Callithrix jacchus: one gene and its partners. The protein of the gene in region 2 interacts with the protein of the main gene of each other region in a biochemical or structural test. Links are inferred from orthologs where the notes say so. Each region holds a gene or a part of one and is shown on either strand. Other genes may lie near its edges. The genes, in order: ANOS1, FGFR1, FGF8 and FGF6.

Region 1 (7,674 bases), on a different chromosome or scaffold from region 2:
GAAACGAGTAAACTTGAAAACCACGGCATAAGAAAGGGCATTAAATAAATAAGTCAATATCACAAATGACATTTATGGATACACAGGGCAAAATTAGTATTTGTACTTGTATAACACAGACACAAGTCACAATTCCATCTTTTAATCAGGTTGTTTAGTGGACATAAAAGACACAGTTTAGGCCTTTGAAGTCAACCATAATAACGTCTTAGCTTTCCCTTAGTTTTTGGGACTTGTTGTAGAAATTTACTGGGTTTCCTATAAAGGCCAAGTTCTCATCTACTGAGTAAAGATCATTCTCTAGCAATGGTTCTCAACCAGAGGTACCGACCCTCAGGGGCAGTTGGCAATATCTGGAGACATATTTGGTTGTCTCAACTTGGGGGAAGGTGCAACTGGCATCTGGTAAGGAAAAACTGTGGATGCTACTAAAAACCTACAGTGCACAGGACAACTCCTCACAACAGAGAACTACCCAGCCCCAAAAGTCAATAGTGTTGAGGTTGAGATGAACCTGTGTATACAGTCAGCTATGTATCTACAGTTTTCAGGACATAGATATATATCTAATCTTTGAACTTTGTTTAATCCACATTACAAAAAATTACCTGCCAAAAACTTTATCTTGTCTACCATGTCATATTAAAATAGTGAACGACTGAAAGGAGCAGACGTTGGTTTGCAAAAATAATTCTATGGCATTCCAGGTAGAAAAACAGAGTAACACAGATAAATCATCATTAAGGAGCAAATGTTGTAAATAAAAATAATGCATGTAACTGCAATGTATATCAAATTAGCCACCTGTATTTGATAACATTTTTGATAAGCTTAATTTTTTAAACAGTCAATAGCATTACTGGATATAGTTTTCTCACATTAGAGAAATGCATCTAATTTCAATAAAACGTATTACAGGATTAGGTACCAAAACTATGTTTGTTTAAAAACATAGGTTTTATCCTTTATTAGAGCAATCACATTTTTAAAATTCAAAAAATTGCAACTATATTTTTGATCATCTGAATAATATTGGAGCTTATTAAAATTCACAAGAGAAACACTTATTACCCCATTAATAGGGTTTTTCTTCTAATAACACCAATAAAATTTAAATTATTTATTTATAGCAAAATTAGAAGCCCATAAGAGCTGGTTTAGATTTTTTAAGGGAGATGTAAGCTTCAGAATCACCATATGAACTAAAAATATCTGTCCAATCTCTATTACCCAGACAAAAGAAGCATGATTAAGTTTTATAAAATTAAATGTAATAATTTAATAATATTTTGTAGCTATGTATAGACTCCCAGCATTTTTAACTATACAACAGTACAAAAATTTGCTGGCATCAATATTTGGATTTGTTCATGACAAATTCATGAAAAAGATAAACAGCCAATAATGAAAAATTTTAATTTTCAAAAGTTTTAAGAACTTGAAATTCAGATGCTGGTAATGGCAGTAGAATAAAGCATAGTTTTAGAGAAGATATCTGTGGTATCAGTTTATTTAAGTTTAGGGATGTTTTTAAATAAAGACTGTTTTCCATTTTCACCATTCAAAAATTATTAGAGCCAGGTAATTTCACAACTCAGTGTGATAAATCCATCCCAGCTGTGACAGTAGCTGCAGAAAACCATTCAGAACCTACATGAACTTTCGTTCTGAGGCGTCCAATTTGAGTAACTTGTACAAAGCTGTAATATCCACTCTTCATATAGTTTAACACACAGGAAACAGGTTTCAATATTTACTATTGGGTATCCATGTTTATAAATGTGTTTCCTAAACACATCCATCGACATCATAAAAGTACTTTCTCTGCATTTTAATTTGCATTTGCCTTTAGACACTGCAGTGAAGCCCCGTGGAGTCAATGACTTCTGAGTTCTCCACTCTTTCCAGGAATGGTCAGGCATATGCATGAATTCAGGAAACAGTAAAACAACAAGAAGCAAGTACGATTGTCAAAATCTAAGGATAAGGTTTCTGATTTTCTGTTTTACTTAGGTAGGTAATGACATGGGGGCACCTTTCTTTTACAGTGTTTAATTTTGACAAATCACTCTTTTCTCAGAATCAGCATTGATGGGGAAAACGTATGATCCTCATGACCTTTAAAAGAGCTATATCTTTACTCACCATTGGTGAGCTATGAAAATGATTTCTTCAGAGATTCATGCTCAAGGTCTCTTTATATATATGCATGTGTCTGTGTGTATATAGACACGCGTATCTATGCAGATTTCAAACCATGTATGTGAGTGTTTTCTTCAAGAAAAAAACAGTATTAAACATCTCTACATTTTAGGTTACAATACACACTGCAACACTCTATACTGGTAACATGTTTTGACTAAAGTTCATGCTACAAGGGAGTAATCTGTAGCATAAAATTTTCCAAAAGGTAAGATATAATAGATTTGAATGCATATAGATGAATTAAATACAAGTAACTGTCCTTCTCTATCAATCAAAGCCCTTTTTTTAACATTACTAATAAAATTCAAGCATACAAGAGCTTGCTTTATGAAAAGACAAATCTCTGCAAAGATCTAAACATGCTCGATAGTTGGGATTTTTTTCGTTTGAAGCAAGAAGTTTTGTGAATTTTCAGTTGGTGAAACAAAAGTACACCAACACCTATTATCTGTATTGAGGAAAATAAGGGAAAAATATAAATAAGATAACATATCAGGAAAATCTCTCACATAATGGGATCGAATATTAAAAAGCATCCCCAGGAAATAATTTTCATTTCTCCAAGGTAAAATCTGGTTAGCAGCTTATTTCATTGAGTTTCTCTGTTTTGGATGTCTTGTAAACCATAATTTATAGAGGGAACTTTCATTTACCTTTGTCTAAAAAGCAGCATAAGGTACTTAAAGTAGAAGCATTTTTAGATTTAAATTCGCTGGTATATTTTAGATTATGTATTTTCATTTACAAATCACTGAGGATAAAAATGATCTTATGAAAGATTCAAATAAACAAAGCTGTATAATCTGATTTTTCATATCAAATCAATAACTTAGTCAAAAATATATTTTATTGATTAGATTTATGCTTAGTGTTATATGTGAAATGTGTATTTGTTACTCTACTTTTTTGTGAGGAGTTTGGTGCTCCAAATTCAGGGAAAACTGAGTTCTGCTGTAATTCTATAGAAATGAGTGATACCATACATGAAAACAGAATTTAGAGTTAAACAGGCCTATTCTTAATTTTCTCCATTCTTGTAGGGAGCTGGTATCTGTATTTACCAGTCAACTATTTCTCACTTGTCTCCAGATGCATCTGTGATTGACAAAAGTTCTTCCTGCACTAAAGTCACATAGGAGAGTTGGGGCCTCTGAGCAATTCCCATTGCCTCTGTAAGTGTGCATGTCTCGTGGCCAAAGTTCAACAAGCTTACACATCTGTGCAATTTTTAAAAATCTTCCTGAATAGTTTAGTATCTTTCTGGAGAAGGCTTGTAATGATGTGGATGATGATGCTTAAGATGAGATCCTAAAAAGTGACAAAATATATCAGTCACATCCCTTTATACATATCAAATAAATGATTGAATTACTTTTATTTGTAGAAAAAACATGAGACCCAGGCAAATGTTCCTTCCTATGACCCCGTCTTTCCTATTCTGAATCTGAATGTACAAACATTCTTTCTCTCCTTTCCCTGTTTTTCTCTTTCTCCTTGATGCCTTCCCAAACCATAAAATAACAAGAAAAAGAAAACAAGTTCCTTTCCTTAAGCTCACAATTATTCAGTCAAACCATAATCCTTTCTTATTTGCTCAAAGAAGTGTTAAAAACTATCAACAACTTTTGTTAAATAGAATTTCTATGAAGGAATATCAGAAAAGCATTTTATCTGACAAAAATTTTAGAGGCTATCAAGCTCTCCCATTGTGATAGTTTTTGTTTGTTCTCTCTCTCTCTCTCTCTCTCTCTCTCTCTCTCTCTCTCTCTCTCTCTCTCTCTCTCTCTCTCTTTGTTTTTTTGAGACGGGGTTTCTCTATGTTGGTCATGCTGGTCTTAAACTCCCAACCTCAGGTGATCCACCTGCCTCAGCCTCCCAAAGTGCTGGAATTACAGGCGTGAGCCACTGAGCCCAGCCTAGGTATTGTTTTTCTTCAAATTATAAGCATACCAAGTTTATTAGGGCAAATTTAATCTATCATTTAAAATAATCAGAGTTAAAACTATGACTAATTCTCAATGTTTTATCCACTAGACATTTATCATTAGACACTGGTTTTTACATTTAAGCTAGAAAATAAAGTAAACGAAGTACGTAATTTAAAAATCAGCAAGAGGCTGTTTTGAAAATCTAGGTGACAATTTTCTTTTAAACTTGGACTTGATTTAGCAATAAATGAAGTAGGTGGACTTGGGTCATATCATGAAGAAAATTGATGACATATATTACAGTAATTAATATCTATGTGACAAGAAAAAATGTTCCTTAGCAAAATATTATTTCCTATATTTTGATATTTGAAAATCTTGATTTAAAAATATTTCAGACTGATATGAGACTATAGATTTTTTTTCCCATATTCATTTATGGTTTAAAAGATAAGGAAAAAAGGAAGCATGATATGGGGAAAAATGCAAGGAAGGAAAGAAAAGGAAGGATGGAGGAAAAGAGAAAAGAAGAGAGGGAAAGGAGGAGGGAGGGAGAAATGGAGGGAGAAAGGAAAAAAGGCAGGAGCAAAAAAGGGAGAAAAGGGGAAAATGGGAAGGAAAGGAGAAAAAGAGCAATTAAGCATCAGCTATGCAATTTATACTACAGGTACCTGGAATAGAGTCCAGTGAGCTGGTACAAACAGGGAGAAAGAATTTCAGGTGATCACAACTTCCCTATCTCATAGAAACCTGTAATAGTGTTATTTATTTGTTTTCATTTTCCAGCAAGACTTTTTTCTGTGTCCACAAGATCTGACAGGACACCTTAATGCCCTGGCACCCCACTCACTGTGCGCTGAAGAGGGTGGAAGCTCCGGCGTCCGGAAGGTCTTGATGGTGGCTGGCCCCTCCCCTCCAGAGGTCAGCACTTGCACTTCCAGTCGGTAAAGAGTGGACGGCCTCAGATTGGGCACTGTTAGGACATTGTGATCCTAAGGGGGCAAGGTGAAAGAGGATGCTCACCGACAACCTTTCAGAGACGATGCACAGTGTGCAGATAGGCTAGGACAGTTCTTCCCCTACTCGAGAATATCATACATAGGCAAGTTTGGTTGCTTCGTAAAGGCAAAGAGAAATATTTTTCCTCATTTATGGGGGTTCTCTGCCATATGATTTCTTAGCACCTCACTCAATTCTTGGCAGCCTAAGGTATTTGGCAGAGTTAAAATGTGCCAAGATGCCAGTTCTCAGGGCTCACTCCTGGGATTTTATTTATTTTTTTATTCCTTAACATAAGACTTTCCCATGGTTTAAAGTCTTCAGCTGCACATCTTGTGATGCGAATTCTTGATAATTTCCAATTTTCAGTAAATGAGCCAACTATTTTTCTTAAAACACAATATCTGTCAATGCCCATAAGTAAAAATACTTATTTTTATGCCAATACACTCTTCTCAAAACTCAATAAAACCTAGTACATTTAGAATAACTACTCTCTTATTCCATGGAATTTTTCTTTCTGAGATTTAAGTTGTGTTTCTTCTTTTTTTTCTTCCCTTTTTGAATTTTTTAATGGTGGTTGGCTATTCCAAGGGCATTTTCAGCGAGCTGGTAAAATCCCACACATGATTTTTTTTTTTTTTTTTTGAAACTAAGGAATTAAGTTGCCTGGAAGACAGGCCAACTCATTATGGGCTTGAGCCAAATTTGAAGGTGAGGGGAAGAAAGACAAACAAGTTTATTTTAGCTATACCTGCCCCCTCCCCCGCCCAATCCAACACTTCAAACAGGGCATGTCCACTTGAACCAGAGAGACGTGAGGTTAACAAAGACAAGAAAGTGGCACAATCACTTAGACACAAGATAGGGTACAGTCTTTTCACGAGTTGGCTCTAGCCATCAAACTTTAGACGGCAGCTTATGCTACGTCTTAACTATGCACAGATATATTTGTGATGTGTTAATTCTTGCAAAAGATATACTCAGAAGAAGAAAATACAGAAATATGACTCAATGGTACAGCACACAGAATGACAGAGGCAGCCATCTCTGAAGGTCTTAAAAAAGAGCAGTAGATACCAATGAGAAGGACATAGTATAAGAGGGGGCACCTACGGAAGGCAGGATCTGGGACTGTGAAATAATGCTGTTGGGTAGGCTGTTCTGTCTGCTTTCTGTAGTGACCTCAGCCCAAGTCACTTGAAACCCAGTCATGGGCTGATAGAGATTGGCCTTGGCCATCTTCCAAGAAAAATGGCCGGTGATGTTCACATCCTGGACGATGAACGAAGCAGAAAGGTTCTCAGGCTTAGCTAGCACCTTAGAAAGAACATGACCTGCAGCAATGCAAGAAGGAAAACCAGGATTAGGCTACTAGAGAATGTGTGACCATGGGATCCATTGTATATTCATCGTAGGAACGTTCAGCAGCTAGTCTGTGGGATGATATTAATAGAAACAATCTGACCTTGTTCTTTAAACATGGGTTCAGGCAATCACCCCTTTGACATATAGGGACAGGTTGAGTAGGAATCTCATCACTACAACTTTGTGCTAAATGTTTCTTCCAGTCCTTCGGGGATCCTTTCTTAGAATGATCTTTTGAAGATGGAAGCAGGAGAGCAGTTAAGACCCTGGCAAGACTTAACTATTTCTTAAAGAATAGCAATGACTGCAGTGAGAAGGTAAATATTAAAGTTGTTCGAAGAGCTATTAAATCCAGGGCTTTTTTTTTCTTTCATTTTTTTAGAGGTGGGATTGCACTATGCTGCCCACGCTGGTCAGAACTCAAGGGCTCAAGTGATTTTCCCATCTCAGCCTCCCAAAGTACTGGGATTTCAGGCATGAGCTGCCATGTCCGGCCAAATCCAGGACATTTAAATAGAGTTTTTCCCACTGCAAGACAGGCGCTTTGGCAAGAAGGGGGATGGAAGGTACACATGTCAGGTTTGCTGCATTGGCATGGAAAGTGTGTGAATATAATCCACACAGCAAAGGGATGGGATACAAATGAAATAATTGTATCAAACTTTGCCAAAACACAAGCGGCATCTGAATGTTTCCCTTCATTTCCAAAGGGATAATATTACTATCAAAGGACATCTTTCCAAGGCTGTTAGACTTATAAAATAACACATTCATTCCTAAATATCTTCCTTCCACATCAGGCCATCATAACATAACTTAGAAAGAGGGACACTTTTGGTTTTTATGGTCTTATGAAATGCAGTTTGGCAATGTTTGGAAATTGCTGCTGACACCTTAGACCTAGATGTGGGGAAGTCCTTCAGGTGAAAACATACCTGCTTCTCCAGGGCAGGCCTCCGGCTTATGGCTCTTCCCCTTAAGAGCAGAGCATGGAGGAGTAGTGAAGAAAATGGTTTCTGCCTTGGAGTGACCTTTTGGCCGTATCGGTTGGACAGTCACCTTATACTTGCAGGAAAATGACAGATCTTGAAGAATTATATAATTTTCCTAGAGCAAGAGAAAGAGAATATGCTAGCAATAAATCTCATTAGGGATTAAAAAACACTGGCAAGAA
Region 2 (7,730 bases):
AATCCAGCAAATGTAAGCTTTAATATAGCGGCTGAGCGGTAGTTTGAGCCATGAGGTACTGGGGAGCCAGAATCCACTTGGTGAGGACAGTGATGACCAGCAGGTGGCAGAAGTAAATTCCAAGCAGCCAAAGCCCAAAAACATTCGGAGAATTTTCCCCCCTTCCTGAGTGGCAGGGTGGAGTTTGGACAGGAAGAACTGTAAGAAGCCAAGATCTGTGACAGTCACAACAAATACAGTCTGGTCACATGGATACAGGAAGGACGATCTGGGGAGGAATAACAACAAAAAAAGAAGCCAGGGACCTGAATGCGAAACTAGCCTCAGGTGACACGTTCTCCTGCACTTAGAAGCACCAGCAAAACCACGCCCATACAGGGGGGGCAGACCTTCATCATTCGATTTCCTTTTTGTTTTTTTGAGATGGAGTCTCGCTCTGTCGCCCAGGCTGGAGTGCAATGGCGTGATCTTGGCTCATTGCAACCTTCGCCTCCCAAGTTCAAGGGATTCTCCTGCCTCAGCCTCCTGAGTTAACTGGGATAACATGCCTACCACGCCAGGCTAATTTTTGAATTTTTAGTAAAGATGGGATTTTGCCATGTTGGCCAGGCTGGTCTTTAACTCCTGACCTCAAGTTATCTGCCCACCTCGGCCTCCCATAATGCTGGGATTACAGGTGTGAAGCTTCCTCTTAATCACTTTAGCTCTACCCCGTGTCGCTATTCCTAGGTAGGTGTCCCCCTCCCCAACTCAACCCCACAGGTTTCCTCAGAGGAAACCATCTGTGGTCAATGGCTGCTGGGCCTTGGCCCTCTGCCCAGCGCCTCTAGTGCATGGATGGGGGTTCCTGCCCTTGATGCAGACATCTTCTTTTCCTGACTTTCCAAAAGTATCTGAGAGGCAGGAGGTGTGTCGTGAGGTCTGGGCGCGGGACCTAGGAGGAAGAGGTTACAAGGAACCTGCACAGGGAGCGTGCGGTGCCCTTGTGACAGAGCCAGCCCCAGAGCCTGTGAGTGTCCCTCTTCCAGTGGACATTCTTGCCCTTTTCACACAGTCCATAGAAAAATGAAGCAGCAGCAATTTTTATTGAGGGACCTAAACTGAAAATAGGTTTAGAACATAATTTAAAAAAATAAAACAGCAAAAGTAGCAAAAAATATATGACCTTTTTAAAAACATTTTCTTTTTTTTTCTTTTTTCTTTGATTTTAATATATAGCAACTGATGCCTCCCAGCCACCTGGAGCATCTTACCCGATGGGTAAATCTCTGGTAATGACCCTTTTAAAAAGACATGTAAATATATACTCAGATTTATACACTTTGTGTTTTCTTCATAGCTATGTACAGAGCCCCCAGTTTGGGGCTGAGCCCCCGGGCCACAACACTGCCCCCAACCTGGCCTTTGCCTCACCATCCTCTGGTACCATGCATTTGGTCAGTAAAGCAACTATCAGAATTAATAAGCCACTGGCACCACCTATCTGGAGCAGAGGTCACCTTCAATCGAGGCCCAAAGTACTGATCTCCCTACTGCTGTAGCCCTGAGGACAAGGCACCTGCCGCCAGAGTGCTAGGGACTTCTGGGTAAAGGCGAAACACACCAAACCCAAATGAGAAAGCTCAGAGGGCTCTCACTTGCATGCCTGTTCATCGGCTCCCACTCCCCACTTTCCAGGCAGCACCTGGTGGCAGGGAGAGGTCTTGGTCCAACATCTGGGAGGGGACGAAGTGGCCAGCAGCAAGGATCTGCCTCTTTGCACCTCTCACTGCCAGGTGGAGAGGAGGAGGAGGAAGAGGTAAGCTGAGCGAGGTGAAGGCAGGCCACACAGGAAGGCCCCTGGTAGACAGCCAGCTCCTGCCAGCAGGAAAGGGGACAGAGATGGACGGGCGGTGGGCCTGGCAGGGGCTGTGGGTGAGGATTACAGCTGATGGTGGGTGGCAGTCAGCGGCGTTTGAGTCCGCCATTGGCAAGCTGGGCTGGGTGTCGGGGCAGGCAGGGCTCCTCAGGCAGCGGCTCATGAGAAAAGACGGAATCCTCCCCTGAGGAGCACGTAGAGCTCCGGGTGTCAGGAAAGCTGGGGGAGTACTGGTCCAGGGGCATGGACAGGTCCAGGTATTCCTGTGAGGGGCGAGAGGAAGCAGCAATGGGCTCGGCCCCTCCTCCCTGCTCAGAGAGGTGCATGCGCGCAGTGGGGACAGCCTGAGCTCTGGCACAGGTAGCCTTACCTGGTTGGAGGTCAAGGCCACTATGCGGTCCAGATCTTCCACCAGCTGCTTGAAGGTGGGTCTCTGCGAGGGCACTGCATGCCAGCAGTCCCGCATCATCATGTACCTGGGGCAGAACTGTAAGGTCAGGGAGGAAAGGCTGCCTCCTGGAGATGGACACCCTTTAGTATAGCCCCCTGCCCCTCAAGCCCATTCTTGCCCCAGGGCCTGGCTTGGGGCCTCCGACATCTCCTCAGACTTACAGCTCGTTGGTGCAGTTACTGGGCTTGTCCATGCGGTGACCCTCCTTCAGCAGCTTGAAAAGCTCCTCCACAGGCACACCGGGGTATGGGGAGCCGCCCAGAGTGAAGATCTCCCACAGGAGCACCCCAAAAGACCACCTGCAGACAGATGCAGAGCTATGGGTGTTAGAGCTTCTCTGCCTCCCCTCCTCCAGCACAAATCCTCCACCCAGGGCAGTGCCAGGAGACAGCGTGGGGAACAGATCATCCTTTCAACATCTGGAGCAGAGGCAATGGCCACAATGTTTTGCTTTTCTCTTGGGGCGAAAGGACTCCTCTGTCCAGGGGGAATGCAGGACTCTGCAGTGGTGGAAGTTCTTTATCCTTTCTTTATCCCACACCTCCCTGGCAACTGCTTATTGCAAACTCACACATCACTCTGGTGGGTGTAGATCCGGTCAAACAATGCCTCGGGTGCCATCCACTTCACAGGCAGTCGGCCCTGCAAGCAGCACCGGGGAGGTTGGGGTGGCCCCAGGCTGGGCCGTGACACAGGTGGGAAGGGACTGGGGGTGGGTTTTCAAGCCATCCCACCCACCCTTCGCTTCTCAGATGAAACCACCAGCATGGGGCGGCCCTGTTGGCACTCACGTTGGTTGTCTTTTTATAGTAGTCGATGTGGTGAATGTCCCGTGCGAGGCCGAAGTCTGCAATCTTCATCACGTTGTCCTCTGTCACCAGGACGTTCCTGGCGGCCAGGTCTCGGTGTATGCACTGAGGAAGGAGGAAGGGAGAGCAGGGGGAGGGGAGGGAGGTGAGGGAGCTGGAAGGCTCTGGGGGCCACCACCTGTGCAACTGGCCGACTTGCCTCACAGACTTCTGCCTACACTATTCTGCCCCGAACCTTTGCTTTCCCTTCTAGAATGTTCTCTGCCAGCTCCAGGCTTCTCAATCATCACAGCAAGTGCTCCTCCCTTCCCTCCCCGAAGGCTGGCCCTTTATGCCTCTGCTTTGTCTGACACTGCGCAGGTTCCTAGGTCTTGCCTCCCAGCAAAGCAAGTCCACACTGAGCTGGGCTCAAATCAAGCTAGCGCTTACACACCAAACACTGCACTCAATGCTCATCGTTTCATTTTATCCTCATAACAATTCTACAACATAGGTATTATTATACTTTTTTTTCTCCGAGACATAGTCGTGCTCTGCTGCAGTGGTATGATCATGGCTCATGCAGCCTCAAACTCCTGGGATCAAGTCAGCCTCCCACCTCAGCCTCCGGAGTAGCTGGGACTACTGGCACACAGTACCACACCCAGCTAACTTTGAAATTTTTTTTTTAAAGACAGGGTCTCACTGTTGTTGTCCAACCTTGTCTCAAACTCCTGAGCTCAAGCAATCCTCCTGCCTTGGCACTGCACCCAGCTGATGTTATTCTTATTTTGTACTTGAAGAATTATAAGAGGCTACACAGAAAATGGCAGTGTACAGATCTGACCCTACAGCAGTCTGACCCCAAGGCCACTTGGCTACACTGGTTCTCCTGACTCTGGTTGCCAGAGAGCCTAAGACAACGCACAGGGCCCGTGCTCAATGCATCCACAACGCCACCACAAGATGACAAGTCACAGGCTGGAGGACTGGGAGGGCTCTGTTCCCACCCCAGCAATACCCAGGGGAGCTTTCAGGGTCCACACCTTCTTGGAGGCCAGATACTCCATGCCTCGGGCCACCTGATAGGCGCAGGACACCAGGTCCTTGGAGGAGAGCTGCTCCTCTGGGTTGTGGCTGGGGTTGTAGCAGTATTCCAGCCCCGGGGGCCTCCGGGCCTGCAGGTACTCCCGCAGGTTGCCTTTGGAGGCATACTCCACGATGACATACAAGGGACCTGCGGACATAGGAGGAAGAGGCCATGCAGCCGGCAGCAGGTGAGCATGTTTGGCATCACCTCATGGAAACCCCACCCCCAGCAGCACACCCCAGCCAACCTCCCCTCTCCTGCCTCCTTTTAGGGGACCTGGGAAATCCATTCTACCACCCTAAGAAAACCAGATAAATAGTTATTCCTGGCATAGTCCAGAAATTTCCCAAGCAATGTTGGGATAAGAGCCTGTTTATTTATTTTTGAGATGGAGTCTCGCTCTGTCACCCAGGCTGGAGTGCAGTGGTATAATTTTCGGCTCACTGCAACCTCCGCCTTACAGATTCAAGTGATTCTCCTGCCTCAGCCTCCCAAGTAGCTGGGATTACTGTCATGCACCATGCCGCCTGGCTAACTTGTATTTTTAGTAGAGATGGGATCTTGTTAGCCATGCTGGTCTCAAACTCCTGATCTCAAGTGATCCTCCCACCTCAGCTTCCCAAAGTGCTGTGATTACAGGCATGGCCACTGTACCCAGCCTGAGCACCCTAATTTAGACCATAATTACTCAGCTGTCTCTGTTAACACACCATGTGTGTGAATCTAGGTATCTGTATTCTTCGATGAACACATATGGGCTGAGCCCAGACCCCAAGAAACACATTTTAACCTCTGCCAAAGCAGCCTCTCAACCCCCTTCCCTAACAGCTCAGACCTTCTGCCTGCTGGGGAGGGAAGGCCAGCCTGGCCGGGACCCACCATCCTGCGTGCAGGCCCCCAGTAGGTTGATGATGTTCTTATGCTTCCCGATCATCTTCATCATCTCCATTTCTGAGATCAGGTCTGACAAGTCTTTCTCTGTTGCATCCGCTTTAAAGAACATGTTGAGACTCATTTACTTTTGGAAGGGAGGAGGGCAGGAGAAAGGCTAAGGTAGAGGGGTATGTTCCGAGGGGCCGCTTTTCTCTTGGACTTGATTCTCTCCTCCCCACTTCCACCTTCCCTCTCATGGGAGTTGTTGCAATAGGTGGTAGTGAGCGGGGAGGGATGTGGGGAGAAATGTCAGCAACTGATAGATCCAGGATAAAAACCTAACCATAGCCCAGGTTGATGCCAAGAAACAGAGTGAGGTCACAGAACAATCTCAGGGTGCAGAACACCCCCTCCACTCCCAGGTAACCCCAAGCAGGCAGGGGAGCAGGTGTGGGCAGCAAAAGCACCAGAGAAGCTGCTCTGCTGGGCCTGAGGCTTGCTGTTTGCTTGGAATGGGACAAGATTGTCTCTGCAAGGACAGAAGCATCACTTACACTTCAACATCTTCACAGCCACCTTGGTCACACGGCTGGGTTTGTCCTTGTCCAGTCCGATGGCCTCTGCCAATACCACCTGCCCAAAGCAGCCCTCTCCCAGGGGTTTTCCTAAGACCAGTCTTTCAGGGAAAACAGACAGCGGCATTAAGTTGGGGCTGGTGAAGTTCAAACTTTGAGAGGCACCCCATCTCCACTTCTGTATTTCACCCAACTTCGAGCAGAAAATGGAAATGAATGTTTCTGCAGGCATTTCACACACCTTCACTGCCCTGAAGGTGTTAGTATACACACCTTCTACCACTAGAATAGCAAGCAAAGGATGCCTTCAAAAAGTTAGGAGTTAAAGCATTGTTACCTGTCCCGAGGCAGCTCCCAGCGAGGGTCTTCGGGAAGCTCATACTCAGAGACCCCTGCTAGCATGGGAGTCCCACTGGAGGAGAGCCGTGATGGCCGAACCAGAAGAACCCCAGAGTTCATGGACGCACTGGAGTCAGCGGACACCTGCAAGGAAGAGTGGGGTCACCCTAGAGCAAGGAGCGGGGACAAGGGCGACTCCTTTCCATTCCTAGTCAGGGCTTCCCAACAATGGCAGAGGCACGTTTCTGTGTATCTCATGTTCTTTCAGCAATACAGAGTGGTCCGAAGACCACAGGAGGCCCAACTTCTAGGACTGACCTATTTCTGCCACTGGCTGGCCTTTCTGGATTTCACTGACCTTTAAAATAAGCAGATCAAATGCACCTCTTCCAGCTTGATACTTTATTACTGATCACTGCAGTAACAACTCTATTCTCACAACTCTGCAAATACTTTGCCTTAGCTTATGGACTCCAAACTCCCAAAGCACCTTCCAGAATGAGCATAGGCTTCTGAGGGAATGGTCATTCTTGCACACACCTGTACCTAACAGTTTCCTTCCATGGGGAAGGGTGGGCACACAGGAGGACAAGGGGATAGTATGGTATGGCTGATATGGTTGCTGTGTCCCCACCCAAATCTCATCCTGAATTCCCACGTGTTGTGGGAGGGACCTGTTTTTGGTGGGAGGTCACTGACTCATGGGGTAGATCTTTCTCGTGCTGTTCTTGTGACGGTGAATAAATCTCACGAGATCTGATGGTTTTTAGGAGTTTCCCTACACAAGCTCTCTTTTCTTGTCTGCTGCCATGTAAGACACGCCTTTTGCCTTCTGCCATGATTGTGAGGCCTCCCCAACCATGTGGAACCTGTGAGTCTATTAAATCTTTTTCTTTTGTAAATTGCCCAGTCTTGGGTATGTCTTTATCAGCAGTGTGAAAACTGACTAATACATACGGTCCTCTTCTCTACCCTGCATCTCTGCACTTCTAAGCAGCCCTTGGGGACAGTTCAAATGCATGCTATTGGCTGCACATTCCATCCAGATAGGACTTCCTCCCAATCCATGTGCCAGGGGTCTGGGGGACTTTCAATGGGATATGAAGGGTGCAGAAGATTCACAGGCTACACTAGCTTAAAACAGACTCTGGAGCACTTAGTTCATGACATTCTCCTGTGCCTGGCTCAGAAGCCACAAAGCCAAGCCCAAAGCTGTAGATTAGGGACAGTGGAGAGGCCAGCGGATTAGAGGCCCAGAGAGAGAGATGGTGCTGAGTGTGCAAATCCCCCATCTACTTTCTGTTACCTGTCTGCGCAGAGGGATGCTCTTGGCCAGCTTGTGCACGGCCATCTGGCTGTGGAAGTCACTCTTCTTGGTGCTGCTCTTCATCTTGTAGATGATGACCGACCCCACCATGCAGGAGATGAGGAAGGCCCCTGTGCAATAGATGATGATCTCCAGGTACAAGGGTGAGGTCATCACGGCTGGCCTCTCTTCCAGGGCTGAGTCAGTGCGAACAGGGTGTTAGCAGGTTTGGAGGGCCCTGTCCATGCAAGGCTCCACTCCCATTAGAAAAACAACACCTATCTCCTGTCCCCTGGGAACTTTCAGGGAGAAGAACCATGTCAGGTTCTAGCTAGGACTAGGATTGTGGCCCTAGGAGAATCGAGACAAGCCCCTGATCTCAGAGGCTGCCTTCAGTGGACTGGAGCCATGGAAGAGGGGTGGCCTGGAACCATGATGCTATGCAAGTCC
Region 3 (8,226 bases), on a different chromosome or scaffold from region 2:
GCAGCCCCACCCCCTGCCCGGGCACCCGCTCTCTAATCCCTCACAACCCGCAGCCCACCCGGCAACTTCCTGTCCCCCCAGGCAGCAGTGACACATGGTTGTCTACGGAGGGGCTGGGCCCCAACTCACAGAAGCAGAGAGAGGGGCCCAGAGCCTGCCTGCTCTGGCCTCCTGCCCACCAGTCTGGCCACCCGTCTCCCCACCTGCCCCTCTCATCCCCTCAGGACTTTGGCTCCCTGGCCCTAGGGCAGCCACCCTATGGGGGAGGGGAGGCCTGGGAGGAGACGCTAAGACCCCATCCCCAGAAGCCCAGGAAGCGGGGCGCTCGAGGCTGGAGAGGAGCCGTGACTAATGGGGCCATTTTAGAGCTCGGCCGAGGGGCCGGGCGTGCGGCTTACTGAACATTCCAAATGCTGGTACCATGTAATTGGACATAATAGCAAAGCAATTTGGCGATTTGTTAAAAAGATATATGGAATTTACCAACCCCCCCAGTCCCTTCCCTAGCCTTCGTTCTTCCTCCTTTGCCTTTATAGCTTTTCATCTCTCACCCTCGCCCCTGCACCCCATCACGAGGTAACCCCAAGACAGCCCTGTGTCCCTCTGGCCACCCTGTTGGGATCAGAGCACAGGACTGTCCTGGAGGAGTCCAGCCAGCCCAAGCCACCCCCCAGGTCCCGGCAAACCACACCTGCCTGCCAGGGCCTCACCTTGGCAATCAGCTTCCCCTTCTTGTTCATGCAGATGTAGAGGCCTGTCTCGGCTCCTCGGACTCGAACTCTGCTTCCAAAGGTGTCCGTCTCCACGATGAGCTTTGCTGTCAGAGAAGGTAAGAGGATGGTTATTGGCAGATCCCTAACCCCAGCTGGCCCACATGCTTGTCACAGCCCAGCAGCAACTGCTCCAAAGAGCAGGAACCCAAAACGTGGACTTCGGCTCCAGCCCAGCTACTACTATGCTGTGCAACCCAGAGAAAGGGCAAGGTGATTTTCTGGACCTCAGGTCCCACCCTTGGGTTTACAGAGGGCAGTGGATGGGATCATGATTTTCCCCAAATTGGGTTCTCAAGAGAGGTCTTGGGACCATCAGATTGCAAAAGCTAAAGTGCTATTCCTTCCACCCTCTTTTTAAACCAGACAGTGATGTCTCTTAGATTGAGGCTCCAAGTAAAATTTAATTTGATCAGAGTTCCATGGCTAATCAAAAGACCTCCGAGGAGCCTCCAACTCCGAATATTATGTGCAGGTGCCTCAGAGGTCAATACAAACATCTGGGTGAGTGGTGACCTCCAGTCCCAAGGCCAGAGATAAAAGCATTCTCTCCTGTTCCTGCCAGTTTGGGTTCTAACTCATAGCTTCGGCCACCCCCAGCCCCTGAACCCCGCCAGGCTCTGCTCTGCTGAGAACGTGCTAGGGGTGGAGACAGCTCCCCATAAACACACGGCCCAAAGCAGGGTGCTTTCCCAGAACCTCAGACACCTGCCAGGAGGATCCTGCCTCTTCCCTGTGGCTTCCCAGTCACAAGGGTCCCCAACCCCAGTGTCCAGAAATCAACAACTCAATTGTTTTTTCTCTCTTTTCTCTTTCAGCCTCATCACAGCTGGGCTTCTCACCCCAGTGACCAAATACCTTTGGTGGGTGACGAGGAGGGAGAATCGGACCGCTAGCCTCTTAGTCTGGAGGTCAGGAAGCAAGGCTGAATTCTGTGCCTCCTTCCCCAGTCCCTTCCCCTTAGACAGCCAACTTGCCACAAAAGCCTGTCCCGTTCACGTAGCTATGCAAACCTCTCTTACAGGCTGTCCCCAAGAAAGTAGTGAGGCTGACTCCACTGTTTGGGAAGGGACAGAGGTGCTGGCTCTCCTGCCCTCCCTGTCGCAGAGCCTAGCCTCTCTGCTCCTTGAGAAAGCAGTTCTGGGATTTAGCCTGCATTGACACATGGTACCTCCTCTGTCCCTGAAACCCATGGCAGGGGTTGGGGGCATTGAGGTCAGCAAGGTAGCCATCACTGCCCAGCCTGTAACTTCCCCCCACTTCACATAGATGCTATGCTGGGACCCATTGGCCAAGCCCCCAGTCTGGCCCCAAGTCAGCAGAGGAAATGCAGCTGTCACCTCCCTGCGCACCCACCTCCTCCTGGACCTAACCAGTCTCATCCCTCTCCTGCGTTGCCTTCCACAGCAAGAAGTGGCTATTTTTAAGGGCCAGCCAGGAAGGCTGCTGACTGGAGAAGGAGTGAGAGGATGCCACTCTGGGGATTCTGGCCAGATGCGGCAGGCAGGGGTGAAGGAGGTGCCTCTGTGCCCTCCTTCATCCTGCAGCGGGTGAAGAAGCCATTGAGACCTCTCTGCTGTTTTCCCCAGACTCCTCCTGTCCTGGCCAAATGCCCTGAGCCTCTGTTCTTAGGACCTCCAGCGCCTATGCTGCCATGGGGCAGGGACTAGGGAAGGTGGGAAACCTCCTATATGGCCCAGGAGAGAAATGGGCATCAGACTTCCTCTGATGTCTGAAGACAAATTCCCCCACACCAGCGTGTGTTCTGCTTCCCTCCCCAAAATCCAAGGATGCTGGGCCATTTGCTCTGAGAGCAAACCCTGGAAGAGCCAGGCATTCGCTCCCTCTCCTTGGAAGCTGAGAAGGGCAGCAAGCAGCCAATTTGGAGGGACAAAGGGATGGTAGGGCTGCTCTGCCAGCCCAGCAGGGAAGCTCGGCCACCAGGCAGGCCGCCCCCACCCCCACCCCAGAGAGCCCCTCTCTCCCTGGTCGGCGGAATCTGCTCGGATCTGGGGAGCTGGGGAGCTGGGGCCGCAGTTTATGGCAGCTCTCCCGACTGGGCTTTTGGAAAGCTTAACATTTTCAAACCTATTCTTCCACCCCAGTGACAGATTTATCCCAGGAAAATTATGCCTCCTCCTCCAGCTTTGAAGGGAAGTCAGCTACGTCGATGCAGAAAAAATGCAGCGAGACATAGTCGATCCCCCAAACTGGCTCAAGAAGAGGAGAAAGTATTCAGGAAATGTTAAAAAAGGTGAAAGTAAGAAGAGTTTTAATCGCTCTGCCAGACGCGGGGGTCTCTCCAGAGATTAAGAGAGAACAATCTTGAACCTCTTTTTTAACATTTACAGACTTGAAACTCCTTTCAAACTCCACATCTGAAAAAAAAAGCTCGTTCTTTTTCTGTTTTATATCATTCTTCGTTTTTCTTCTTAGCTCTTAAAATGCCTCACCTTTTTATTACATTTTAATAGAGTCTTCCCCTCTCCTTTCATGCTTGTTTAACGTGGTCATTATTTAAAGGTTTTTAAACTCACAATAATCGTTCTCTAAAAACACCAGCCGCCCAGAGGGCTTGCTTTTCTCCTGGTACATCCAGGACTCTGGAAATTGGCCCTGTTTCAAGGCAGGAATATTGAATGTTTTAGAAATCAATCAGTTCTCAGCCTCCCTGCCGGCAGTAGCTCCCCGCACTCGCCACCCCACAGGGAGCTGGGAGTCCTGCCCCAGCCCGCCGGGTTCCTGGGAGAGTGGAGCAGAGAGAGTCCTGTTCCAAGCCCAGTCCCCACGTGTAATTGACCCTTCTGATCAAAGTATTTAAAGGTTCCCAGCAACCCCCTTTTCCACATGGGAGAGTTGAGGGGATTTTTCTCCCTTTTCTTTCCCACTCTCCTTTTGTGGACCCTGGCGACATATCCACTTTCAAGAGCTTCCCTTAAACCTGGGCCCCCTCCCCTGAACCCCCTGCCTCCACCTGCAGCTGGGGAGGGGTGTATGAAGCGGGGAGGCATAAAGGGAGATTCCTAGATTCATTCATTTGCTGGGCAGGATAGGGGCACCTGTGGCCAAGTACTACTCCCCAATGCCCCCTCCCCAGCCCTCTTCCCCAGCTGACCCTCAAGACACTTTTCTGCCTTAACTCCTTCCCTTCTGGGCTGGGGACCCCACAGGCCTCCGGCCAATGCAGTTGGGGCTGGCAGTCCAGGAGCCGCGCATGCCACAAGCGACCTTCATCGTGCCTTACCGAAGGGGTCGCCGTCCTCTGCCATGGCGTTGATGCGCTTGTTGGCCAGGACCTGCACGTGCTTCCCGCTGGTGCGGCTGTAGAGCTGGTAGGTCCGGATGAGGCGGCGGCTGAGCTGATCCGTCACCAGGCTCTGCTCCCTCACATGCTGTGTAAAATTAGGTGAGGACTGAACAGTTACCTTTAGGAAATTGAAAAATACACAACACTGCATTATAATGCTACTCCGCCCAGGGGCCCGAGTGGCCCCATCACCCTGCTTCCCCCTCACTGTCCCAAGCCGCCAGCAGGTGCTAGGGGTTCCCCCAACATGCCCCCCCAGGCCACCAACCCCCACCCAGGCAAGTGGGGCAGACCCAGCCCATTATAAACGAGCCCCGGGGAGAAGCTGGACCCACCTGTTGGGAGACACCCTGGGGCTCCCGGCCAGCCTGGAACAGGGAAGCGAGCTCCCTGCCCAGCGCAGGGCCCCTGCCGGGGCCTTCCTAGAGGAGCAGGGCGCTTTTAAGTAGGGAGGCAGCGCTTCCCGACCCCTGACATTTATAAAGACAAATTTACGGAGCAAATGTTGAGAATGCAGGGGACCTGGGCACCCGATCATTGGGCCAAGCCGGTCACAAACTCCCCCGAGGGATGCGGAGAGAGTCTGCTGCAGTCACCCGGCTTCCCCTGACATCGAACATCCATCCCCTGGTCCCGGCTGCCCCCTTCCTCGGCGGCCAGGTGTTCCCTATGCCCCAGCCGGCGAGGATTTGTGGGGGACAGTGCTGGGCTCGGAGACCGCGCTCCTATCCTGGCCACTCGCTGTGTGACCTCAGGCAGGGCGCTACCTCTCTGTGCCTCAGCTCCCTCCTTAGGGTGGCTCGGGGCTGGGTTTCTAAGGTGCCCTCAGCCCTCCCGGGCCGGCCACAGGGTCAGTCCTGGTGCCCCCGCCCGGCGCTGCCCACCCGGGTCTCCCGCCGGCCCGCCTGGTCCCCGCCTCCTCGCAGCGCTCCTCACCTGGGCATGCAGGCAGAGGACCAGCAAGTGCAACAGCCTGTGGGAGACAAAAGCGGGCGGGAGAGAGAGGCGCGGGTGAGGCGAGGGGCGCAGCGGGCGGGCGGCAGGGCAGGGCGGCGCGGTACTCACAGGCAGCTCAGCGCGGAGCGGGGGCTGCCCATGGCGCGCGGCCCCGAGGCACCGAGAGCCCGGCAGGATCACGCCGTCCCGCGGGGGGACGCGCGGAGCGGGGCGCGGGCGGAGAGGGTGCGGGTGCCGGAGGCCGGCGGCGATCGCGACGCGGCTCCGCCGGTCCCGTGGAACGTCGTGCTCGCCGCGCCGCGCCGAGTCGCTGTGCGCCGCTGCCGGAGCCGGTGGCCGCAGGCTGCTCGGGAGCCGGAGCGGGCGGGAGGGTCACGGGCCGGCAGGGTGGGTGGGGAGGTGGGAGGGCGGGGAGGGGTGGGGGCGGGGGGGCGCCGCACCGGGCGCGAAGGGGGAGCGCGGGGCGGGCGACGGGAGCCCGCAGCCCCCGGCTGGGAACTGGGGCCTGGACGCAGCCCGGGGCGGGGGCGGGGCTGCCGGGGCGGGGCGGCCCACGGGTCCAGGATTGGGGGTCTGGGCTAGGGGAGGGGTCTGGGGACCCGCGGGAGGGGTGGGGGCGGCCGGTCTGGACGCCTCCCCCTATCCCCAGCCTACCCCCCCCCCCGCCCGAGCTCTCGGGGCCCTGACGCGCGGGGATGGGGGCGACTGGTGCTTCGGGCTCTGCGGGGCCGGGAGACCCTGGGCCCGGGCTTCCCGGAGCGCCCGAGTCCGGCGGGGCTGGGTCTTCTGCCTCGGGGCCGGGCCGCTTCATTCCCCCCACCCACCCCGTTACGCCTTGGTCTCAGAGCCACCTACTGTGTGTCCTGCCAGGCCAGCCTGTTAGCAGCGCCGCTAACCCTGCGGTGAAGGGCTGCGCACCCGGCCCTGGCACAGTGCGTGACGGTGTCACCCGGACCCTGCTCCCGTTTCGGCCGCGTGCCCCGCCCTGCCGCTCTCCCCAGTCTCAGTCTCCCGAGGAGGCCCTGGGAGCCAGAAATGCCTCCCCCTCCCCCCACTCCATTATCACCATTACCCCTTCCCCTGTGCCCCTCACCACACACATACACTAGCCTGAAGCTTAAGGGGCACCCCGAGCCACTTGTGTGGAAGAGGGAGCCAGGAGATGCCTGGCAGGACCCACTGTCCCCCTACCCCAGCAGGCAGCAGGGGCAAAAATAACTGTTCTGAGCAGCTTTTCCTGGGGGAAGTGACTTCGATGGAGGCCACCCAGCCTTTTCCCCCTCAAAGCCCCATTCATTTTTCATTTCACAGGTATTTACACATCTACTGTATTCTAGGCAGGGGCTGGTCAGCTGGGTCTAGGGCAGAGGAGAAGGTAGGCAATTGTCTAAGCCTTTCCCAGCCCCTCATCTCGTGGCTTCCCCCTTGAGGTTTCTGGAAACCCTGAGCCCCCACACTGCTTCTGTAGGAGCAGCCTGGGTAGGCAGAGGGTGTCCTGGGACAGGTACCTTGTGAGGAGCAGGTGATGCCCTACCAGGCTGTTGCCTTTACCCACAATTTACCCTTCCCCACTGACCCTCCATGTCCCTGGGGGTAGGGCTGGAGGGTTTGGTGTGGGTCCAGCAAGCCAGTAGGCCAAAGGGAGCAGGCAGCCCTAGTCCAGCACACAACTAGACCCTGCCTCCCTCCCTGTTCCGAGTCCCACTTTTCACGGGGCCCCATCTTTTCTGACTCCTAGACATCAATGCAAACACTGAGCAATGGAGAGATGGGAAAAGACAGAGGGTGTGTTCCAAGATCTTATCCCTCCTCAGAGAAGTAGACTTCCTGGGCACACTTGCCATCTCACTTCAGTAGTCTGTTCAGTGGGCTCTTGCCCACACAGACCTTGTGGCAAGAATCATGTCTTACGGGCTCAGAAATCACAGCTCGTGGCACAATGCTGGATAGAATTGTTCTGCAGTTAAGAGTTCACTGAATGAATGAATGAAATTAAATGAATAAATGAGTGATGGGGAAAGTGGCTGAGCATTTAGACTTCAGCTCATTTGCAGCTTCTCCAGGAAGACCTGCCTTCACCTTCTCCCAAAAGATTATCATCATCAGCACCACGAATTATGAGCACTTGTATCTGCTACAGGCTTGGTAGGCACTGTCTCCTTGGAAGCTCATGGGGAGGTGAGCCCATGAGGCAGAAGAAAGTCAGGTGGGCTCAAGTGGCCACAGCCCAAGCCAGCCCTTGCCATCCCTGTGTTCTGTTCAAGGCCTGAGTCACAATTCCTTGAGTGTCTATTTCCCTCTCTGCACTGCTTCAAGAGGGCAAGGGCGATGTCTGTTTGCTCGTGGTCTTACCCTCATCCCTGTACACAGCAGCCCTCAACCATGTTTAGTTGTGAATATGATGAACAAATGAATGAATGGAGAGATAGAGAGCAGGGGACAGGCACTTCCTGAGAGAAACAGGCTTTCTCTCACCATGGACTCTGAACATCAGTGTGATGAGCAGAGCAGGGAGTAGGCCCCAGGCAGGGGTGAGGGTGACCCACCCCCAACAGTGTGTGCATGGTCCTGGGGTCACAGCCAGAGGAGCACCTTCCCCTCCCTGGAATGGGGATAGGGACAGAGCCCCTGGCAGAGGTCAGCATTCAGCTCCGGTTGTGGAGCCCCCAGAAGATTCTGAGGGCCCTGGGCTGAGCTTCAATGGTCTTCAGCCACACTCCTTCCTCTGCCCCAGAGAAGATGGGTGTCCTGGGATCTGAAGGGTCAGAGGTCAAGTTTCAGTCCTGTCCCAGCCTCTGCCAGGAAGCCTGTGCTGGACCAGGATTCCTTTACATTTGGATTTGGAAACCCTCCTGAGAAGTGGACCCTCACCTAGTTCATTGAAATTCTTCTCATCTCCCCAAAAGTCCCTATCTGTGGGGGAGAGGAGCAGATGGGGACACCCCGGGAGCAAGCACCTGGCTCGGCTCGGGCACACCCGTGACTGACAGATGCAAATGTCCCGCCGGGCTCCCGCAGGCCGCTCCCTCCCTCTCTGGCTCGCTCACCTCCCGGCCAGCTCCCTCCCTCCTTTATCTTATCAAAGCCCGGTAATTACAATTGCTATTTTGTTTCCTCGAATCTGCAATCAGAGCTCCTGGGCCCAGATGAGGGAGCGCCTGTCAACCTGATCGCTAAGTGACAGCCCGGCCA
Region 4 (7,662 bases), on a different chromosome or scaffold from region 2:
AACCATGCAGAACACGTCTCCCTGATGCTGAAATTTCAGTTCAATGAGGTATACGAACGTGGTTCTGCTTTGGCTGTCTGCATGATGGGCTAGATTCAGGACCCGTTTGGGGCTTAATGACATCCTCCTCCTGTTGTGGGAAGAGGAAGCATCAGTCAGATGTAAGCAGAGCCTGGAGTATCTCTCTCTATTCTTCTGGCCTTGTCCCAAACATTCCTCTCTTGGTATTTTTCTGGAAGGTAGCAGAATGAGTGGCTGATTCCTTCAGGGGAGGAGCAAGTATTAGAGACCCACTTTACAGACACAGGTGTGGAAAGTGGCAGAGAATACCTCCTAAGTGATAGCTGACCCAGGGTCTTTGAGGAAAAACATTGGGATAGAAGGACAAAGGAGTTTTCTAGCTTGTGTCCCCTTGAAAGTGGGCAGAAGGAGATAGAGGGCAGAGAGGAAATCCTGCAGGATGTTTGTAGATGTGCATTTGGTAGACATGTTTGTATCAGTGACTGTGGCACACAATGGGCAAAGGCTGCGGGCGTCAACACGGGGAGGAAGGAGAATGGACTCTCTTGTTTCTTTCTTCTCTCAGGACCTGCATAGAACAAGAACTTGAAGGGTCTGAGGTCCAGGACAAGAAAGTGGCCCAGAACCAGCGTCGAAGGAGAACTGTAAACTGCGCAGGACAGGACGAGGGTCAGGAGAGAATTTCAGGCCTGGGTTTCTGGGCAGGAGAGATACCTCTATGTCTAAAGAGGAGAGGGGTTTGTACCCGGAGTCAGATGGCAGAAGAAAATGTTGTCTTTGTTAGGCCATAGACCGGCCCTGACCAAGGGCTTGGCACGGGTGTCAGGGCACTGTGGGATGTGGCCGCGGAGGGGAAGGCTGCGGAGGATGATGGTAGGGTATTAATTACAAAATTGCATGCTGCTTTCAGAGAGGTTCAAACATGTATGGGAAGTGGGAAGGGAAGGGTGTTAGAAGGCAGTGCCTGATGAAGCAAACATAATCAACAGCTGGAACAAGGCATTTGGAGTTTCCTGGTTTCCTATGAGGTCCATCTACTGCCCTGAAAAGGGTGGACATTTTACAAGGAGCCTGGGGCTCCCCCATGGCTTCTAAGCTAACCTCTTCAGCTGCAGCTGAGAGGTGCATCTCATAGTGTGTGCAGATATGCTGCTCTCCTCTTTATTATTTTCTCTTGAAGAGAGAATAAAACAGCCTCTTTGCCCTCGGAACTCCAAGTTTGCATGGGGCTGCCAAAGAAGGTTCAGGATGAAAGGGAGGTGAACTGGCTACAAAGCTCTGTAAACCAGGCTCCTTGCTCAGCACTCGGGGAATGGAAGAGCCAAGTCTTAGTCATCTTCAGTGGGAAAGTGGGGCTCTCTGGTTGCCCTGCATATAGCAATGTCTTCTGCAGCCTTTGGGATCCAATGGGCCTGACAACCGAGTTCAGCACTCAGTGGACATGTGACCAGATAGGAAACAACTCTTCATGCCAGGGCACAGATACAGAAGCCAGAGAGAAGGGACTGAAATGCATCCTGCTGATCTTACTCTGGTCCTGTCTCTTAATCCACTTCTGTGGATGGGGATTGGCATTTCCTTCCTTCCTTCCTTCCTTCCTTCCTTCCTTCCTTCCTTCCTTCCTTCCTTCCTTCCTTCCTTCCCTCCTTCTTTCCTTCCTTTTTTTTTTTTTTTTTTTGAATAGAGACGAGGTTTCACCATGTTGCCCAGGCTGGTCTCAAACTCCTGAGCTCAGGCAATCTACCCGCCTCGGCCTCCAAAAGGCTGGGATTACAGGTGTAAGCCACCGCACCCAGCCAAGGATTGACTTTTCTTAAGCCTAAAGTCACTTATAGGAAAACAGAAAGCCCTTGAGAGAATTTCTTCGCATGGGAAGGATTTTAAGGAGTCACCCACACATCCCTGCATCTAAAGGTGGTATTCAAAGTACTTAGCAACCAGATGGGCATGGTGGCTCATGCCTGTAATCCCAACAGTTTGGGAGTCTGAGGAGGGCAGATAGCTTGAGCTCAGTTCAAAATCAGCCTGGCCAACATGGCAAAACACTGTCTCTACCAAAAAAAAAAGAAAAAGAAAATTAGCTGGGCATGGTGGTGCACACCTGTAGTGCCAACTGCTCAGGAGGCTGAGGAAGGAAAATCACTTGAGCCCAGGAGGTGGAGGTTGCAGTGAGCTGAGATCACACCACTGTGCTCCAGCCTGGGTGACAGAGCAAGACCCTGTCACAAACAACCAACCTCCAAATATTTAGCAACTGATATAGCATGGGCCCTGGTACCAGTTAGACAGACACCCAGCCCCTCATAACCGGTGCTGGTGCAACTGCTATGCAGTGGCTGAATAGCATGCCTGCTTGATTGTAGGCATTTCTTAGCTTCTCCTTCTCATTCCTGGCATGAAAATGAAAGTGGACATTTGGGGAAACACCTTGCCAGGATTTGAGCAATGTTATGCTTCTCTAGAGAGATGAAGGAAAGGGCTGGCAGTCCAAGGCTTTGAGGATTCTCTCGAAGATGGCTCCTCTCATGCCATGTGAGCTGAAAGATCTTGGAAGAAGGGAACCTATGTTATGGGACCTAAAACTCCTTTTTTCTCTGGATCATAGTCACGCCATCCTCCAGCCATTCCACACTCCAAGCTCCACTGGGAACTGATACGTACCTCAGGTTCGGGGTGCCTGCATTCCTGATGGACCCTGTTCAAGAGACTGATTGCACTGAACAAGACTCCCTAAAAACCAGTCAGCTTAATCCCTGCCTCCAAGCAGACCTGCACTTCAATATTCCAAAGAGTCACGATGGACTAGTTTTCTCCCTTTTCTACCACATCCGAGGCTCGGCCACACACACACGTGCTTCAGGGTTTCTACTGTCTCTTCCATCTTCACGTACCTTGGTGTGGCTTTTTCCTCCTCACCCAGCACATGTCGTTTCTGACATCTGCAGGGCAGAGGAGGTGGCCGGTGAGGTGTCTCTCCCTTCGATTACCGACCTCCATCTTCAGCTCAGAATTCCTCTGCCCGGATCCACCTACAGATGGATGCAACTGCAAATAGTAAGGTATGTTGAAGATGAAGGTATTCGCAACAGATGAGGATTGTCTTGCAGGCCGGGGCCCCCGGGAGTCGCAGAGGGTGTCAGGTCATTTTGTAACTCGATGGTTCATATATGCCAAAAATATTTGCACTCTGATAGGGCTCTCTCTGGTTTCAGATTTAGGAACATTCCAATGGTTTGGGAATCTGAAGGCTCCAGGCAGACAACATTTATAGTCAGCTGGGGAACCTCTGCTTTAAATCATCTTAGGGACAGAAGGCAAGAAGGCATCGTGCGGCAAGGAGCTGCTTCAGCTTGGCTTCTTGACTTCATGGGATTATCGCTCCTCTTCTACTGCAGGGAGGAAGAGCGCACAAACCCTGGAGGTCACTGTGCCCATTTTGCTGCATCCAGGCACAGCGTGTATGTGAGATGACGATGAGCAAGAAGGAAGTGAGGGTATCAGATAAGAACTTGGGTGCATTTCCTGGACATAGTTGGAGAGGAATTACCATCTGTAGTCCAAAGCCTCTCTACTTCCTTCATGCCCTATTTTGTCCTCATCCCTCGCCAAAGAGGTTGCCATTATTAGGATCCTTGTCATCTGTGGTTAAAATAAGACCAGTTCAAAGTGAGGAAACATTATGGGCAGGCAGCCTGGCCCTGCTTGTTCTTGGAGCCACATACAGCCTGAGTTCTCCAGGCAGAGTGGCTCTCCTAGAACATCCAGTGCCTTCTGCTGCCTCCACAAGCCTTCCCCAGCTGCCCTGGACGCTGCTCTACCCCTTTCCTCCAAGAAGGAAACAGCTTCCCCCCAGCTTCCCTGACAATTCATCCCAGTATCCCCAGAGCCCTCACTGGCAGGAATCTTGAAGTGCCTGATCACTTTCTTTCGGGTTTGCAATACAATCTTACACCTCTCACCCTGCTGTCTCTGCACTTTGAGGATGGCTGCTCCCTGCTGGCCTGTGCAACTCACGTGGTCAGCAGCCTCTGAAAGGAAAGATGATTGGAACAAGGCAGAATGGGAGCGCACATCAATCATACTGGTTTGACAAGTGACATTTGTACAGGCAGATTCCTGCAGTGATGATGCTGGGAGAGAGAAACTCGATGCTTTGAAATGCCTCTGCTCTGAGAATATATAGAACGCTGTATAGATATACAACAATGCACACAAGCCCCTACCCTGGCCTTTTCCTTTGCACATGGTCACATTCCTCAAGTGTCACCGATACTTCTCTCCTCCAGGGAGGTCAGAGCATGGGATCCATTGCCATTCTAAGGTGCTGATTGCAACCCTCACTTGAATGGGCTACATGCCATGGGGTCCAGCAGCCAAGGGCAACAACTGGGGTCTCCCCAAGTGCAAAATAAGCCTGACTCAGAAGCCATGGAGGGCAAGGGGAATTATCTGCTTGTGCAAAATTCCAGTAGGACACTTGCTGCTTTAGATCTGTGAGCCTTCTTTTGTGGGTCCTTACATCCTGGGAAGGAAATGAGTGACAGTCATGATCAGGGACACCTTGCTGCCCCGCTTTGCCCGTCCGTATTTGCTCAGGGCGATGTAGGTCCCTCGGTACAAGTCTGACTCGTAGGCGTTGTAATTGTTGGGCAGGAGGGTTTCTCTGAACTTGCATTCTTCTTGGAAGCTGGGCTGTGAAAGACATGGGCAAAAAGCAGGGACTGGGTTACAAATGAGGAGTGCTGCAGATGCCAGCTGGGCTGCATAGAGTAGGCCCCTCTGCTGGGTGCCCCTTCCTTTCCCACTGTGAGGTCTGAGCATCCTGGGTGAACAGAATGGTGGGCGGTTAGGATGGGAAGAGGCTGCAGACTCTCATGGTTTCCTCTCACCTTCTTCCCTCTTTTACTAGAAGGCCCAGGGACACGGGGATGGTCTGTGCCACGTGGGACAGAGCTGAGGCCCTGCCACTCGGGTCTCCTGACTTCCAGATAACTTTCTACTAAGTCCCTAGATGGTAACTTATTCCATTCAAAGAACAGACCAGGAAATGATACAATACGCTGTTTTCTCAAGTGCACGGTGAGAGGGAGTCTACTGGAGCAGGAATGAGAGCCCAGGGTGCTATTTCGTGACTTTTCTACTTCCCAGTTTTGTGACCTTGGGCAGGCTCCTCCCCTTTCAGCCTCATTCTCTTTTCTGCAAACTGTGTGTGTTGTGGGAAGGAGAGAGGTGGTTGGTGAGGGGGAGGAGACACAGACGCTCTCTTAAGCCCTTTCCAGCGCTGTCTCTCTTTCTTTCCATCTGTGGTTCCTCAGTCCACCTTTCTTGGTTTAAGTCCCAAGTTTTCTATCCCTCAAATAGGCCCATTCTCAGATTTGACTTTAAGCCTAGATGTCTGGTACTTCCTAGACCAGGGGTTCCCAACCCCCAGGCTGCAGACCCATACCAGCCAGTGGCCCATGCCAGTGCAGGAACCGGGCTGCACAGCAGGAGGTGAGCGGTGGCTGGGCGAAGCTTCATCTGTTTTATCCCCACTCCCCACCGCTTGCATTACCACCTGAGTCCATCGCCTGTCAGATCAGCAGAGGCATGAGATTCTCAGCAAGAACCCTGTTGGGAGCTTTGCATGTGAGGGATCTGGGTTGCATGATCCTTATGAGAATAGAATGCCTGGTGACCTGAGGTAGAACAATTTTGTCCCAGTACCGTCCCTCCATCCCCCACCCTGTCCATGGAAATAGTCTTCCATGAAACTGGTCCCTGGTGCCAAAAAGGTTGGGAACTTCTGTCCTAGACAATCCTAGTTCTCTAGGGATATGCAGGAACAGAGATGGTGAGGAGCAGGGATTTTTACTGGGAAAAAGACCTGGTTCCCAATATGATAGTGACACCAAGGAGACTGGGACCAACAAAAAATGGCCCTTTCCATGCTAATGTGATAGAGGAGTGTGTGTGGACCACTGTTCAGAACATGAACACTGAACTTCCTGCCTCACATGCACAAGTTCATTCCTAGTACATGACCCCCAAGTCCTCCTTCTCTCCTAGAAAAGAAGGCTCTTTCATCTGCAACCCGCCTGGGTGGGTGGCTGCCCTGAAGGAGTGTGCAGGTATTCCCTGTTCCTGTGGGGGTGGGAGCTAGAAGAACAGAGCCAGGTGGGAGCCAGAGACCTGGGATCTACTCTTTTTTTCTTCTTTTATGAGATGGAGTCTTGCTCTGTCACCCAGGCTGGAGTGCAGTGGCATGATATCAGCTCACTGCAACCTCTGCTTCCCAGGTTGAAGCACTTCTCCTGCCTTAGCCTTCCAAGTAGCTAAAACTAAAGGCATGCACCATCATGCCCAGTTAATTTTTGTATTTTTAGTAGAGACAGGGTTTAGCCATGTTGGTCAGGATGGGGTTGATCTTTTGACTTCATGATTCACCTGCCTCAGCCTCCCAAAGTGCTGGGATTACGGGCATGGGCCACCATGCCTGGCCCCAGGATCTACTCTTAAAAAGAACTATAGAATGAGAAATGGGTGGAGGATAACTTCTGACTCCTTCTTGCTCAGGCATTAAAAAAACCCCACTCAATGGCTGCTGGGCTGTGCCAGCGGTGTTCTCTGACCTGTGAAGGAATCGTACCTGGACGGCAATGTCGGTAGATGAGAAGCTCTTGGCTCTTGCTCTTCAGAAGGGCTGGTAAGTAGCCTGCCTCTCAGGGGCCCCAGACTCCCAGAGCCCTTTTGGTGGACCTCTCTGGCAACATTTTGAACAGCCATACTTTCTTTCCCAATAGACTACAAGATCCCCGAGATGAGGACTGTGTCTTGCATGGTACATGATGCTGAGTCAGTGCTGGTTTAATAAGGACAACATGGGTTTGGTGGCTCACACCCGTAATCCCAGTACTTTGGGAGGCCAAGACAGGAGGATCACTTGAGCCCAGGAGTTTGAGAGGAACCTAGGCAACATAGCAAAATTTTGTCTCTACAAAAACTTAAATTAAAAAAAAAAGCCAGGCATGGTGGCGCATGCATGTGGTCCCAGCTACTCTGGAGGCTGAGGTGGGAGAATCACTTGAGGTCAAGGCTGCAGTGAGCCACGATTGCTCCACCGCACTCCAGCCTGGGCGACAGAGTGAGATCCTGCCTCAAGAATAAACAAATAAGTAAATAAGGACAACACTGAAACATAAGAGGATCCCTGCATGGGGGGCTCTTTCAATGTGATGTGGGAGTGGGTGAGGGGACAGCCTTGCCTATGGGAACACAGTGAAACTCCCCCTCATACGTTTTCCCTATGTTTTTCTCTCCCGCTTGCAGCTTATTTACAAAGCACTTTTACTGATATTAACTTGCTTGAGATAAACGTGAAGACATTCACCAGCCATATCAACTGGTTAATGCCACATGAGGGGGATGGGTTTTCGTAAGCTTTCCTGTTCTCCTCGTTAGGGATGCTCAGTACGTATTTGCCAAATGGGTGAATGAAGGGACGCCCATTTTGGTAAACAAGGATGAACTAATCAACATCGTGGCACAATATGTGTTTTTTTTTGTGCCACAGCTTTCAAGTTAGACTGATGACAGTAGCCTCTTACTTAGCTATGTGAGCTTTGGCAAATCATTTAACCTCCAAAGTTGACTGTTCCCTCC

The links.
Region 1: the proteins of FGFR1 (region 2) and ANOS1 form a complex in vitro, tested with the Homo sapiens proteins (3 studies listed by BioGRID and IntAct, with this or other methods). The link is inferred for Callithrix jacchus from reciprocal best matches to the Homo sapiens genes FGFR1 and ANOS1.
Region 3: the proteins of FGFR1 (region 2) and FGF8 interact in a biophysical measurement, tested with the Homo sapiens proteins (2 studies listed by BioGRID and IntAct, with this or other methods). The link is inferred for Callithrix jacchus from reciprocal best matches to the Homo sapiens genes FGFR1 and FGF8.
Region 4: the proteins of FGFR1 (region 2) and FGF6 interact in a biophysical measurement, tested with the Homo sapiens proteins (2 studies listed by BioGRID and IntAct, with this or other methods). The link is inferred for Callithrix jacchus from reciprocal best matches to the Homo sapiens genes FGFR1 and FGF6.

What each region holds. Positions count from the first base shown.
Region 1 is NC_133524.1:8,701,317-8,708,990, forward strand, and holds part of ANOS1 (anosmin-1), read right to left. Parts: intron 7,608-7,674; coding exon 7,436-7,607; intron 6,470-7,435; coding exon 6,249-6,469; intron 5,126-6,248; coding exon 4,984-5,125; intron 3,514-4,983; coding exon 3,455-3,513; 3' UTR 1-3,454. UniProt on the Homo sapiens protein: Has a dual branch-promoting and guidance activity, which may play an important role in the patterning of mitral and tufted cell collaterals to the olfactory cortex. Chemoattractant for fetal olfactory epithelial cells.
Region 2 is NC_133514.1:39,240,527-39,248,256, forward strand, and holds the end of FGFR1 (fibroblast growth factor receptor 1), read right to left. Parts: intron 7,478-7,730; coding exon 7,274-7,477; intron 6,119-7,273; coding exon of another isoform or gene 6,118-6,118; coding exon 5,973-6,117; intron 5,737-5,972; coding exon 5,615-5,736; intron 5,178-5,614; coding exon 5,067-5,177; intron 4,335-5,066; coding exon 4,144-4,334; intron 3,224-4,143; coding exon 3,101-3,223; intron 2,952-3,100; coding exon 2,881-2,951; intron 2,609-2,880; coding exon 2,471-2,608; intron 2,335-2,470; coding exon 2,229-2,334; intron 2,122-2,228; coding exon 1,945-2,121; 3' UTR 1,276-1,944; coding exon of another isoform or gene 1,219-1,275; 3' UTR 1,067-1,218; downstream 1-1,066. UniProt on the Homo sapiens protein: Tyrosine-protein kinase that acts as a cell-surface receptor for fibroblast growth factors and plays an essential role in the regulation of embryonic development, cell proliferation, differentiation and migration.
Region 3 is NC_133513.1:94,724,758-94,732,983, forward strand, and holds the start of FGF8 (fibroblast growth factor 8), read right to left. Parts: upstream 5,293-8,226; 5' UTR 5,175-5,292; coding exon 5,143-5,174; intron 5,051-5,142; coding exon 5,014-5,050; intron 4,500-5,013; coding exon 4,413-4,499; intron 4,196-4,412; coding exon 4,015-4,195; intron 3,324-4,014; exon of another isoform or gene 2,876-3,323; intron 1,682-2,875; exon of another isoform or gene 1,589-1,681; intron 830-1,588; exon of another isoform or gene 818-829; coding exon 711-817; intron 1-710. UniProt on the Homo sapiens protein: Plays an important role in the regulation of embryonic development, cell proliferation, cell differentiation and cell migration. Required for normal brain, eye, ear and limb development during embryogenesis.
Region 4 is NC_133510.1:17,823,585-17,831,246, forward strand, and holds part of FGF6 (fibroblast growth factor 6), read right to left. Parts: intron 4,714-7,662; coding exon 4,537-4,713; 3' UTR 1-4,536. UniProt on the Homo sapiens protein: Plays an important role in the regulation of cell proliferation, cell differentiation, angiogenesis and myogenesis, and is required for normal muscle regeneration.